3 linked regions of the Callithrix jacchus genome follow. The protein of the gene in region 3 interacts with the protein of the main gene of each other region in a pairwise test. Links are inferred from orthologs where the notes say so. Each region holds a gene or a part of one and is shown on either strand. Other genes may lie near its edges.

Region 1 (4,390 bases), on a different chromosome or scaffold from region 3:
GCCTGGCCAACATGGAGAAACCCCATCTCTACTAAAAATACAAAAATTAGCAGGGCATGGTGGCAGCTGCCTGTAGTCCCAGCTACTCAGGAGACTGAGACAGGAGAATTGCTTGAACCCAGGAGGCAGAGGTTGCAGTGAGCTGAGATCGCACCACTGCACTCCAGCCTGGGCAACAGAGCAAGACTCCTTCTCAAAAAGGAAAAAAAAAAAAAAACTAATGTGATAAATACTCAAGTTGACTGAGAAAAAGTTCTCACCTGTCCCTGGCTCCCAACTTTTCACCTGACAATGGAAAAATCCCCAGAATTTCACAAGAAATTCTGTGGGGTCCATGACCCATGGAGCTGCCAAGGTATCAATAATGCGGAGACCTGCTTGAGACAGGACTAGAGCACTGTCAATGGTGGGGCTTCCTGGGCGAGTCCACACTGCCAGCAGAAGTGCAGGTGCCCATGTAGCAACTCCCTGGAGAAGCAAGACATGCATACAGTCGGGAAGGGAGCCAAGGGCACATGACAAAGCAAAGTGGCAGGTGTCCAGCTTCCTCAAAGGAGGAAGCCAAGGCAATGCTGCACTTGCCGGATACAGGCTGGGGCACAGACTCCAGATAAAGACACATCCTCACTGACTCAGGCTTTTTCAGTTTCTAGAGAAAGCAACGGGAGGGGTCAGGGGCACAGGTCTTGTAAGATCTCCATGCACAGAAACCAGGAGGATCAGAAGGGCTGGGAGGATCTGAGGCAGCACAGGGAATGTGAGCAGCCGGAGCCCCTCAGCCTGCCCTCCAGGACCCCCAGTACTACTCCTTTGAGTTGTTCTCTTTTCTCTGCCAGCTAAATCCTCTGTTGTCACTTCTCTTTACTTGAGATGGAGTCTCGCTCTATCAGCCGGCTAGAATGCAATGATGCGATCTCGGCTCACTGCAACTTCTGCCTCCCAGGTTAAAGAGATTCTTCTCCCTTGGCCTCCCAAGTAGCTAGAATAACAGGCACCCACCACCACACCCAGCTAATTTTTGTATTTTTAGTAGAGACAGGGGTTTCATCATGTCGGCAAGGCTGGTCTCAAACTCCTGGCCTCAGGTGATCCACCCACCTTGGCCTCCCAAAGTGCTGGGATTGCAGGCATGAACCACTGCGCCTGACCTAATTCACATCTTTCCTCGGCCTCTTAGCTTTTGCTCATTGTTAGTTTCCTCCAGTGCCCCATGACGGCCCCTCCAGCCTTTCTCTAACTCAGGGCCTTCCAACTCAACTTCCTTCTGTCAACAGCCTCATCCCCTTGTTATTTCCAAATTCTTTCCCAGAGAAATGGTCTGATTTTCCCAGCTCATCGCTTGGCCAAAACCAACCAGAGATCCCTGACCAGCCTTGTTCTTGTCACCCCCCATTTCCTCCATTGGCGAGGGAGAGATCCCCTGCTCTGCTTAGGACAAGATGGCCAAAAACACGCATTTGACGCTGGTCAGATGAGATTGACAGCAGTTTACTAGTCAAAATAGAGTCCAGTGAGGAAAGACATCACAAGCCATGCAGGGCCACATGGGGTCACGCTCAGGAGCAGAGTGAACCAACAGGGCTGTGGGAGGCAGCCTCGCTGTAACAAAAGCATGAGGTGCCTCGGGTTCCTGTGAGAGGATGTGATTGGCTTGTTTGAATAGCTTCCCAGGCTGGCAGAGAAATGAAACCTATTAAGTAGAAAACTGAGTGGAGTGCAGCTGGTCCAGATGGTAGGGAACTAGCCAGCTAGGGAGCTAGGGCAAGGGCACATAGGGTGAGAGGCAGGAACTCAGGCTTAGGTCTTTGGAGCTCTGTGAGGCTCAAAGATGGCACAGCAGCAGAGCAATTGGAAGTTCTAAATCCTCTCCACCCACCCCTCCCACTTTAACCTGAATCCTCCTTTCTGTTCCAGCTGCCTCCATGGGGTTGGAGAATTTGCAGCCAGGACAGACGGACTCCAGAATGCCACTGTGGGACAATTTTGAAGCAAGAAAAATTAAGGTGCAAAGTCATCCTGGAGTCTGGGGAAGAAAGAGGCATTTCCTCATATTTGACAAGCGCTGGAACTCCAAGAGTGAGCTTGGGAACTTGTCCTGTCATGGTTCTGACGGAATGTAGGGTCGCTTACAGATGAAAAGAAATGTTTGGTCACATGGGGCATCATTCCAGGACTGAAGCGAGGATGCCTTTAAATTGGCACAGTGTTCATTGTTTCCATAATTGTTGGGCTCACCTGGAATCCAGAACCTACCAAGTGGGGGAAAAAAGATGGATTTACAAAGTTGGAAAATGAAGAAGAACTTATATCCACTGAAGAAATAAGTTAACTCAATCCCAGGTTTAGTTGTAGGGAATGGCAGCAAATGTCTGCACCCAAGCCTAAGAGGAAGAGGACTCGTGAGGCCTCTAAGCTTTCACTCACGCCCCAAGTCCAGTTCACCACTCTCAAGTCCCTATACAAACCCACAATGTGAAGACCTAGACTCATGACACAATCCCTTCTGAAGCTGGCCAGGTAGAAGGCCTTGCTGCCAAACCCCAGAGGGCATGGAGGGCCCAGGTCCCACAGCCAGTTAGTGACAGGGTTGCACTAGATCTTGGTTCCAATGCTCCTGTCACCCTAGGACAGAGAAGAATCAGAAACCCTGTCTCGTGGGGAGCATCACCTCCACTCTCTTCTTTCCCAGGCCATAGCCAGGGAAACGCAGGCTGGCAGGGAGGGGTCCAGAGCCTTACCTCTCACTTTGGACCTTGTTGAATGGCGTGTCATCCACCCAGGACCACTCCCCTTCCATTCCTGCTTTAGTCAGGCCAATCCAGTAGATGCGTCCCCCTGCTGTCTTATACAGAAACTCCTGTAGGAAAGACAGGATAAGAAGAGGTGTGGCCACACCCGGAGCTTGATCATCATCTCTGGGTGTTTGTCACCTGTGCTCAGTGACATCCCTGACCCACAGATGTGCTGCACACAATGGCCTCTCTCAAGCCTCTTCTTGCCCTGCCCAGGGCTCAGATTTCATCTTCCAGATTATGATATTTCCCTGCCCTGCAGCTAACAAGCTCAGGACCCAAGCCTTTCTGCCACTCAGGAAGCAGGTGCTGAAGTACAAGAAGGCCTCAGCTGAACGCCAGAGCATGGACCCCAAGAGAATGGTTCAGATTATAACACCTGAATTTAGCAAGCTCTGAGTCCACATAAGGCACTGTGCTGAGTCCTCCATATGCATTCATTCCTTTCCTCTCTGAGGCAGGTGCCAGCACCATGCATGTTTCATCAAGTAAGGGACAGTGAAGTTTGCCCAGTAAAGTTGCATATTCCACCCAAGCTGCTAGGACTGGATAGATGGCAAGGTTAGGGCTCTAGAACTACTCCAGAGCCCAGGCTCTGACCTGCTCTGCTATCCCACTGCCCAGATGAAAAGGGCTCATGCAATTTCTGCCTCACCAGGCAGGAGACTTCTTGAGTCATGAGGATTCATTAATGCTGTTCACGAATATCTCTTTTTTTCTGGGCATGTGGAAAGTAGCACCTCTCTGCCCTCTTTGAATCCAGGAGTACTGTATAACTTACTTTTGGCCAGTGAAATGTAAGTAAAAATGAGGTAAGTTAAATCTGGGCCGAAGCTTTGCACAATACATCAAGTTCCCTTTTCCTGCCCCAGCAATTGTGGAAACATGTTAAAATGAAGTCTCCTTCGGCCTGGGTCCTTGAGTAGCCACAGTGCCCAGAGCCCCCTTGACAGTCCTTATTGGACATGGTATGTGAGAAATAATGCTTCTTCATTAGGTCATCAATATTTGGGGATTTTTATTAGCCCAGCATAATCTTGTCCATCCTCCCTGGCCCAATGCTTATACACCCCCTTCCCAGATCCCATAGGCACAGCACTCACCTGCTCACTCTCTGAGGTCACCGAGGTCAGGTGTGAATTCCTGGAAATGCAGAACTGCTGGGCACTATACCAGGTCTTTGGGATGCGAGAAAAGTAATAAAAGTTTCCCCTGAAGAAATTCCAGCCTTGAGAAACCACCTGTAGAATGTCATCTAGAGAACAAGAGCTAAAAGTGAACGCTGGTATTCTTGTTTTCTTGGGGTGCTAGCTTGGTGGGGGCAATTGAATGAAGTCTCAGAGACAGCAGCAAATGCAGCTGTGCTCTGGTGTCCTTGGGTCCTTGTGTAGGGGACTGGGGATACTCTTTCAAATCCTGAAAGTCAGACAGAGACTAATAGAGTCTCTGGGACTGGAGAGGTTAGAATGTGATAAGATGGACAAAGGATGTCTTTCCCATGAAGGGGAAGCAACTCTCCATTGGCGATGACAAGTGGCTGCGGCCCTAGACTCTAGAAAGGAACTTGATGGGAAATGACCAGGTATGGGCCAGGGTGG
Region 2 (5,020 bases), on a different chromosome or scaffold from region 3:
TATCTCAATTGATGCAGAGAAGGCATTTGACAAAATTCAACAGCCCTTTATGCTAAAAACCCTCAATAAACTCGGTATCGATGGAACGTATCTCAAAGTAATAAAAGCTATTTATGACAAACCAACAGCCAATATCATACTGAATGGGCAAAAACTGGAAGCATTCCCTTTGAAATCTGGCACTAGACAAGGATGCCCTCTTTCACCACTCCTATTCAATATAGTTCTGGAAGTTCTAGCCAGAGCAATCAGGCAAGAAAAAGAAATAAAGGGTATTCAAATAGGAAAGGTGGAAGCCAAATTGTCTCTATTTGCAGACGACATGATAGTATACCTAGAAGACCCCATCACCTCAGCCCAAAATCTCCTGAAACTGATAAGCAACTTCAGCAAAGTCTCAGGATATAAAATCAATGTGCAAAAATCACAAGCATTCGTCTACACCAATAACAGACTTAAAGAAAGCCAAATCACGAATGAACTGCCATTCACAATTGCTACAAAAAGAATAAAATACCTTGGAATACAACTCACAAGGAACGTAAGGGACCTCTTCAAGGAGAACTACAAACCACTGCTCAACGAAATCAGAGAGGACACAAGCAGATGGAGAAACATTCCATGTTCATGGTTAGGAAGAATTAATATCGTGAAAATGGCTATACTGCCCAAAGTAATTTACAGAATCAACGCTATCCCCATCAAGCTACCATTGACTTTCTTCACAGAACTGGAAAAAACCACCATGAACTTCATATGGAACCAAAAGAGAGCCCGCATAGCCAAGTCAATTCTAAGCAAAAAGAACACAGCGGGGGGCATCACACTACCGGATTTCAAACTATACTACAAGGCTACAGTAATCAAAACAGCATGGTACTGGTACCAAAACAGAGATATAGACCAATGGAACAAAACAGAGGCACCGGAGGCAACACAACATATCTACAACTATACAATCTTTGATAAACCTGACAAAAACAAGCAAGGGGGAAAGGATTCCCTGTTTAACAAATGGTGTTGGGAAAACTGGCTAGCCATGTGCAGAAAGCAGAAACTGGACCCCTTCCTGACACCTTACACTAAAATTAACTCCAGATGGATTAAAGACTTAAACATAAGACCTGGCACAATAAAAACCCTAGAAGGAAATCTAGGCAAAACTATCCAGGACACAGGAGTAGGCAAGGACTTCACGAACAAAACACCAAAAGCATTGGCAACAAAAGCCAAAATAGACAAATGGGACCTGATGAAACTCCACAGCTTCTGCGCGGCAAAAGAAACAGTCACTAGAGTGGATCGGCAACCAACAGAATGGGAAAAAATTTTTGCAGTTTACCCATCTGACAAAGGGCTGATATCCAGAATTTACAAAGAAGTCAAACGGATTTACAGGAAAAAAACAAACAAGCCCATTCAAAAGTGGGCAAAGGATATGAACAGACACTTTACGAAAGAAGACATATATGAGGCCAACCATCATATGAAAAAATGCTCATCGTCACTGGTCATCAGAGAGATGCAAATCAAAACCACATTGAGATACCATCTCACGCCAGTTAGAATGGCGATCATTAAAAAATCTGGAGACAACAGATGCTAGAGAGGATGTGGAGAAAAAGGAACACTTTTACACTGTTGGTGGGAGTGTAAATTAGTTCAACCATTGTGGAAGACAATGTGGCGATTCCTCAAGGCCTTAGAAATAGAAACTCCATTTGACCCAGCCATCCCATTACTGGGTATATATCCAAAAGACTATAAATCGTTCTACTATAAGGACACATGTACACGAATGTTCATTGCAGCACTGTTTACAATAGCAAAGACCTGGAATCAACCAAAATGCCCATTGATAATAGACTGGATTGGAAAAATGTGGCACATATACACCATGGAATATTATGCAGCAATCAGAAATGATGAGTTTGTGTCGTTTGTAGGGACATGGATGAATCTGGAGAAAGTCATCCTCAGCAAACTGACACAAGAACAGAAAATGAAACACCGCATATTCTCACTCATAGGTGGGTGATGAAAAATGAGAACACATGGACACAGAAAGGGGAGTACTAAACACTGGGGTCTATTGGGGGGAAAAGGGGAGGGCCAGTGGGAGGGGGAGGTGGGGAGGGAAAGCCTGGGGAGAAATGCCAAATGTGGGTGAAGGGGAGAAGGAAAGAAAAGCACACTGCCATGTGTGTTCCTACGCAACTGTCTTACATGCTCTGCTCATGTACCCCAAAACCTAAAATCCAATAAAAAATTTAAAAAATAATAATAATAAATAAATAAATGCTGATCTCTCCCTAATGTGCCCACCATGTCACTTGTCTTTCTGAGCACAATTCGGCTGTCCAAAGAAAGCCTCAGGGAGAGTCCTTTCCTTCCAAGCCCTGTTTTCTGAACTGTAAACAAAGGTGGTGGTCCCCACAAGCTCTGACAGCCCAAGATGTGCTGCCAGACCTCTTCCAACTTGTACCTGCTGAATGGGGGAGAGGTTTCTGTTGGCACCCAGAGAAGGCTGGACCCAGTCATGTAATTGGAAGAGACACACACCAGGGAAAGGCTTGGAGGGAGAGTTCTATGTGGAACCACAACCTCCCAGGCCCAGAACATACTCAGCCACCCTGGGCACTCAGATCTCCAACCACTCTAGGACACAGGGCTCCTATTGGGCTTGCTGGCACCAACCTCAGGCTAGGAGAACGGCCCAGAACTCTCCTTCATCCTCCAGACTTGCTGGCTGTCCAAATCTAGCCCAGGTTTTGGAGTAAGGAAGGAAACATGATAGTTTTGGGTGTTTCCTATTTGCCAAACATTTCATAAAACTCTGCATGTGAGGGGTGAGGGGACTGAAGCTGAGGTGGAAAGGGAATGGCCAAGCATCCAGAGCTTGGATGTGACAGATTTCAAGCAGGTCTGGCTGGGTCCCATGTGATATTCAATTGTGGAGCAAAGGAATGATGAGCAAATGAGCAAGCCGAGTGGATGGACAGATCTTCAGGCAATGGAGCAAGACCAGTGCCCCAGAGTCGGCCCCACCCAGCCTTGCCCTTGGCAGCTCCTGGCCTCACACTTGCCTTCCTCTGCTCCCTCATCCCAAGGCTATGGAGCAGGGACACAGAGATTGGCCAACTGCCTTGTCTCTGCACAGGGGCCATCCCATCAGGCTGGAAGGGCTGAGATGATGCAACAGGCAGAGGAGACTGTAAGAGGAAGGGCAGAGACCCGCCCCGACATTTACCCAGGGTGTAGAGGATCCGAGTCATGAGGTTGAGGCCCATGAACATGGCCATCCAGCCGGCCGCCCGCAGGCCCCAGGTCTTCATGGAGTTGCTCTTTAGTTCTCTATGAAATACCTCCTGTAGGACAAGGTGGGGATAGGTCAGGACACTGAGGGGGGCAGCAGCCTACACAGTCAGCAGGGCAGGTGCTGAGGGGGCTATGGCAACCTGGAGCTGTTGACCATTTCTGAACAGGTCAGAGGGAGGTGGGGCAAGCCTCCTACAGGGCTAAGTCTTTCTGCCCAGCTAGCAAAGCACAGGGCAAGGCATGAGATCTCTGTGGATGGTACGGGCCCTCCTCAGCTCAGAGCCTGCCAATGCCTGGAGCCCTCAGCCCAGTCTCACCTGGAATGAGCGGGACCCTCCCCACCACCCCTGAGTAGGTTTAAGCATGCCTGCACTGTGTATGTGTTTAATCTCAGACCCTTTCCACATAGCTTGGGGACACTGCACCCCCCTTCTCAAGTTCCATCACTGTCCATGCCCCTCTTCCTGTCCGTTAGATACTGCAATTCTTTTTTTTATTTTTGAGATGGAGTTTTGCTCTTGTTGCCCAGCCAGCCTGGAGTGCAATGGTGCAATCTCAGCTCATCGCAACCTGTCTCCTGGGTTCAAGCAATTCTGACTCAGCCTCCCGAGTAGCTGGGATTATAAGGCATGCACCACCATGCCCAGCTAATTTTACCTTTTTTTGTATTTTTTAGTAGAGATGGAGTTTCTCCATAATGGTCAAGCTGGTCTCAAACTCCTGACCTCAGGTGATCCACCCACCTCAGTCTCCATAAGTGCTAGGATTACAGGTATGAGCCACCACACTCAGCCTAAATGCTGCATTTCTTTAGCTGTTTCAGTCCATACTCTTTCCCCAGACATCCCATCTGCCTGCTTGGCCCCCATATGCCGTGACCCTCCAATTTAAAGCTGCAGCTCTGGCCTTCTGGGCCTCACAGCCCTGCAGCTCCCACCACCTCCTCGACATTTCCACTTGATGTCTCGGCCTGTCTAGCACTGACACTGGAACCTTCTCTATCTCAGCATATGGCACACCCACCCACTCACATCTGGGGAAAAGATGTGGCCTGCTCCTCCCCCACCACCCCCATCCAGTCCAGGTCGCATATTCCCGAGTCTCTTGCCACTGTCCGCCCACAGGAGCCTCACTGGTCCTGCTTCAAACACCCACTCCGTGCTCTCCATGAAGCCACCTGCCAGAGCCCTGCTACCACTAACCCTGCCGCCAGTAGCCTGACCCCGCTGGCTGCTGTCCCCAGCCCAGGTCGAGTGTCCTTTGCCCTTGGGTGTCTGCCTGTGGGTTTTCTCTGCCTACATACAGTAATTGCCCGCAGTCATGCCTGGCCGGCTTCCTGCACACTCTTCCAGCTTGGCTTCAACACCATTTCTTCAGAGGGCTTTCCCTGACCCCCTGATCTGAATTGGGCCCTCTCTTAGAGTCCGTAACAATAAAAACAGGTCACACTGACGTTCGCCATTTATCTGATACTCTCCTAAGTGTTTTACAAGTATCATCTTATTAAATCCTCAGAATCACTCAGTGAGGTAGGAATACTTATCTCCATTTTACAGATGAGGAAACTGAGGCTCTGAGAGGATAAGTCATGTGCCCAGGGTCTCACCTCAAGCAGTTAAATAAATGCTACATTTCCAAGAGCAGGGGGCATGTCTGTGAAGTACTTGGTACTTAATGAAAATTGCTGAATGAATGAATATTC
Region 3 (5,020 bases):
GGCTGACTAAAAAGATCCTGATTAAATTAAGGCTACATTTTATTCATATTGTTCCAGAGTGAATGATAATATTTTTCCAGGGCAATGGTAACATTTTTCCAGGGCAAATTGCTTTAGAAAAGGAACTTGATCAGAAAGTTCCCATTGTAGAGCAATTGTTTGGGTGTCTTGAGCTCATATTGGACCACATTGGACTGAAGTCCACTGGCAGTGAGGAAAGTCTGCAACATCTCTGAAGCCCAAGTCTCCTTTGACACCATTCTTAGAAGGGATGGAAGATACGAGTCACTATCATGGTTCTTATTCCCACACTCTGCTAATTTTCAATCTCCTGCCTCGGTAGGTTACACATTGTAAAAGCACTCTTGGTGGATCCATGTCTTCAAAAAACCAGGGTCACTCCTTCTAACTTCTTTTTATCAGTTCTCTCTTAGGTAGAAGTAGAACTTTAAAACCATTGCTAGAATCCTATTAGCTTGAAACCGCACTGACTGCCTTTGTGAATTCCCCAATCCCTTAACAAAGACTAACACTTTGTTCATCAGTGTCTTCAGTCCCTGCTGCTCTGCTCACAGATGTTGGCTCTCTGTGAATTTCTGAGAAGTGTATCACACTGATTGGTACTACCCAATCCCCTTCCCCATTCCATGAAAAAGCCCTTTAATTCAGAAATGTAGAAATATATACAACACTGCTTCATATTGCTTTGTATTATACTGATTCAGATAATACTGTGAATCAAATAATGCTTATCTAAATATAACTCTATATGATAAAAATCAATATAAAAAGAAGATGTTTTACCTAAAGAATAGTATGCTAGTCTCTAGCTCCAACACCAACAAAATGGTCTTTATGTGATTGCTGCCAGTGGTTTTAGAGAGAATATTTAAATAAAGCACATCTACCACTCAAAACAAAAAGTTTATTCAGCTTCTTCATGAATATGAAAGTTGCTTCTTCATAACCACGAATCAGAATGATTGACAACTCATTGAGGTCATGCAAACCCAAGAGGGTGTTTCTCGGACTCCTTATTCTGGAGGCCTGAATGAACTGTGATGTGACATCATAGCTCAAAAGTAAAAAAAAAAAGTCAGTGGGATAGAATTATCTTTCCTTCACAGGCCACAGTCCCATGGTCCCCAGTTTAGAGGGCAGTACCAATTCCTTTAGGCTGTTCTCCTTAATGCCTCAGGGTGTCATGTGTCTCTGCTTCCCCAAATCTGTGTTTAATAATAATGAAAAGCTGTGATATCAGAGTCCACTTGGGATTGAGGGTATCTAACTTCCCAGGCTAGGCCTTAACTGCTCTACTTCCTGCTTATTTTTTGCCAGGGAGGGTACGGCGGAAACGCTAAAAAGTAGCTTATTTATACGCCTTCTGCCCTAGACATCGCTGGTGGTAACTGGTATAAATGTGGTACAAAAATGGATGTTTCTTAAAAGAAATCATTGTAGTTTAAATGTATACCTTTGAAAATCATGGCACACCCTCCATAGAAACAACTTTGAGTGTTCCCTGGTGACATCTTAGTAAAAAGGATTTAGGGTATCGTTATGGGTGAGATATAAACTTTCTCCCTCCTTTATTTATACACGTATACCTCATATATGGGTATATGTGTATAAGGAAAGGAGGGAGAAAGTTTAGAGAAAAAAGGAAAATTAGTGTCATCTGGAAGCATTTAGAACCTGTAGTATTTGGAACTAAAACAAAGGAAACTTGGCATAAAAACAGAATAACCATGATATAAATATCTATAAATATAGCTAAATTTAAGACAATTAATATTTACCATATCCAATAAAAGTATAGGGTTAGTGTTCTTCTTCTTCTTTTTTTTTTTTTTAATTATACCAACCTTTGTGTCTTTTCCAAAGACCTTGGAATGAAAACAAATCCAGTTTTCTGATACAAAGAGCTTTCCTTGGTATAGTATTTCTTTCTGTAGTGCACAGGTAAAGCCTAGGAGAATATACAGAGATATAGCATCATTTAGAATTTCCATTTAAAATTAAAACTGTGTATATATTTTAGTGACTCAAGGATGGGCAGAGATAATATATTCATACTCAAAAGTTCTATTGCCTCTTCTTCAGTCTTCTTTATGGGAAGAAAGCTATGGCGACCAGGTCATGGCAGGAACCCAGCATCTTGCCTTAACTTTTGCACATCAAGAGAGACTAGAATGGAACGTCGGGCCCCTTGAGGAACCACTGCAGAGCCCATTAGGTGTGTTTAACTTGCATACTGGGCAAGATATTTAGGTGACCATCACACCCTTCACAGTGGCATCAGCACATGTCTGTCCATGTCTAAGGATGTGAGTTTTCTTTTAGCCTTCTTCTAGTGACCTCTGTTGCCCCAGGCTTGTTATTCTAAATCTTAAAGCAATCTAACATGTGTATTTCAGCAATAAATAAAGAAGGGAAGGGTATCATGGAACCATCTTGGGTGACTCCATACCCCATGGAGAACTGTTTCTCTTTCTCCTCTCTGATCTTTTCACGCTGCCTGATGAAAGCTGACTGAAGCTGGTGTTATTGTTATGTCATGACTTTCAGAAACCTGATCCCCTGGGTGACTCAGTCCGTACACTATGCTCTCTTTCTTCCCCAGAACTAATTATCATCTTTTCAAATATGTAGCTAAAAAAGTCAAACGTCAGAACTTACTTTGCCTCAGTGGTTCCTCCGTTGGAACATTAAGAAACAACTTGTGAAAGTGCATATTGGCCTTGTACTACAATGAGAACAAAAGACAAGCATCACTACTCTCATTTTCTTGTGGAACATCACAAATTTTAGCTTCAATAACAAATTTCCCCTCCCTTAATAGTAACTTTAGGAATTCCTTCTCACTGATCTTACAGTCTCTGACACAAGCCTTCAGGAAAACATAGTGAAAATTAGGGCATACAACTTTCATTTTCTAACAAGTTTAACGCTTTGCTGGTTGGATATAATGATGCAGCTGCTGGTCAGCCTACTGCCAAGGTAACAGGGCTGGACAAGGATGTCCCTGATGAGAAATGGGATGAAATTCTAAGGAGTCTCATTAGGGAAGGTACTGAATCCCAGGTCCTAAAGGTCCCAGTAAGTACTCTCAGAAGAGTACAGTGGTTAAAAGCTTTGCAATCACGTAAGGCTGAGTTGAAGTCTTGGCTGTAGTGGCTTTACTTCTTGGTGTGTGACCATGGCTTAGTCACTTCATCTCCCTGGGTCTTGGTTTCCTCTTCTGTACTAGAGAGCAAAAACAGTACCTGCCTCAGGCTTAAATGGGATAATATACCTAAAGGACCTATAGTCTAAGGCAACATATGGCCACTCTTCCTACTGTATCATTTTGTAAAGGCATTTCCCTAGCCAGTGACAGGAGTAGGATACAGTAGGCTACTGTCAAGACAAGTAGGATTTCATACGAAGATTTCACTCTCCAGGGCAGCAGGCGGACCAAGACTGTGAAATGTTGCAAATCACTTCATCTTCAAGGGATCTGTTTTCACAACTGTGACAATAACAATGGATAGCCAGCAATTCACAGCTTGTAAAACACTTTCACCTGCACCATACAGCTATTAAGAGGTAGAACTTTTAGCTGAACATGATGGCTTGTGCCTACAGTCCTAGCTACTCAGGAGGCTGAGGTAGGATCTCTCTTGAGCCCAGGAGTTCAAGGCTACAGTGTGTTATGGGGTAGAACTGGGTATTCCCTCCACAGACTCAATCTGTCTCACAGGATGCTTCTGAAGGAAAATTCTTTTTTTTTTTTTTTCAAAGGGAGTTTTGCTCTCGTTGTCCAGGCTGGAATACAATGGTGTGATCTCAGCTCATTGCAACCTCTGCCTCCCAAGTTCAAGCAATTCTCCTGCCTCAGCCTCCTGAGCAGCTGGAATTACAGGTATGCGCCACCACAGCTTGCTAATTTTGTATTTTTAGTAGAGATGGGGTTTCTCCATGTTGGTCAGGCTGGTCTCAAACTCCCGACCTCAGGTGATCTGCCTGTCTTGGCCTCCCAAAGTGCTGGGATTACAGGCATGAGCCACCATGCTCGGCCTCAAGAAAAAATTCTTATAAGGAGAATGGGTAGGAGGTCCTGGATGCCTTATTATTCAAACCAAGAGTGGTCTCAATGGCAAAACTGGCCGTATTTTGCCATAAAGAACTATAGACCAGGTCATCAAGATGATAGATGGTCCCAGCAAGTCAGCTATTTTATAGATAAACACCTTAAAGAAAGATACCTTGATTAAAGCTAGGTGTTCTGTGGGGCTTCACTGAGCTTTTGTTTTTAATGGCTACAGTGAGCAATGGATGCACACTTGATTTAAAATATACTAGCCCATAAACTATTCAAAAATGTCAGTGTAATAAAGGGCCAAAAAGGTAATGGGGCTGATCTGAATTAAAAGGGACATAGCAGGGCTGAGTGTGATATCCAGAAAAGTAATCTGAGATTACTTATCACAGGCTTGTAATCTCAGCACTTTGGGACACCGAGGTAGGCAGATCGCCTGAGGCCAGGGGTTTGAGACAGGCCTGGCCAAGATGGCGACACCCTATCTGTACTAAAAATACAAAAATTAGCTGGGTGTGCTGGTTTCACCTCTGTAATCCCAGCAACTCGGGTGGGTGAGGCATATGAGAATCACTTGAACATGGGAGGTGGAGGTTGCAGTGAGCTGAAATTGTGGTAAAAAGAGCAAGACTGTCTGGAATAAAAAAAAAAGAAAAAAGAAAAAGAAAAGATAGCAAATACATGCAGTATGTGACTCTTGATTGGATCCTGGAGAGGAAAAAAAAGCCTTTATAAAGGACATTTATTACTGGGACTACTATGGAAATTCAAAAGTGGATTTTATATTAATGATATTTTAATACATTTCATATTTAAATTTCTTGGGTTTGCTGATGGTTTTCGGTTTAGCTCTTAGGAGACACATGTTCAAGTATTTAGAGAAGTGAAGAATAAAAAAAAAAAAAAAAACCCAAACTCCTGTCCCCAGTACATGTATCG

The links.
Region 1: the proteins of GRAMD2B (region 3) and CD207 interact in binary tests that used the Homo sapiens proteins (3 or more experiments, as listed by UniProt). The two-hybrid records come from large-scale screens. The link is inferred for Callithrix jacchus from reciprocal best matches to the Homo sapiens genes GRAMD2B and CD207.
Region 2: the proteins of GRAMD2B (region 3) and TMEM43 interact in binary tests that used the Homo sapiens proteins (3 or more experiments, as listed by UniProt). The two-hybrid records come from large-scale screens. The link is inferred for Callithrix jacchus from reciprocal best matches to the Homo sapiens genes GRAMD2B and TMEM43.

The regions. Positions count from the first base shown.
Region 1 is NC_133515.1:42,989,699-42,994,088, reverse strand, and holds the end of CD207 (C-type lectin domain family 4 member K), read right to left. Parts: intron 4,048-4,390; coding exon 3,896-4,047; intron 2,858-3,895; coding exon 2,739-2,857; intron 2,250-2,738; coding exon 2,099-2,249; 3' UTR 1,473-2,098; downstream 1-1,472. UniProt on the Homo sapiens protein: Calcium-dependent lectin displaying mannose-binding specificity. Induces the formation of Birbeck granules (BGs); is a potent regulator of membrane superimposition and zippering.
Region 2 is NC_133516.1:71,110,277-71,115,296, reverse strand, and holds part of TMEM43 (transmembrane protein 43), read right to left. Parts: intron 3,369-5,020; coding exon 3,251-3,368; intron 1-3,250. UniProt on the Homo sapiens protein: May have an important role in maintaining nuclear envelope structure by organizing protein complexes at the inner nuclear membrane. Required for retaining emerin at the inner nuclear membrane.
Region 3 is NC_133503.1:82,702,801-82,707,820, forward strand, and holds part of GRAMD2B (GRAM domain-containing protein 2B), read right to left. Parts: intron 2,747-5,020; coding exon 2,680-2,746; intron 1,970-2,679; coding exon 1,866-1,969; intron 1-1,865.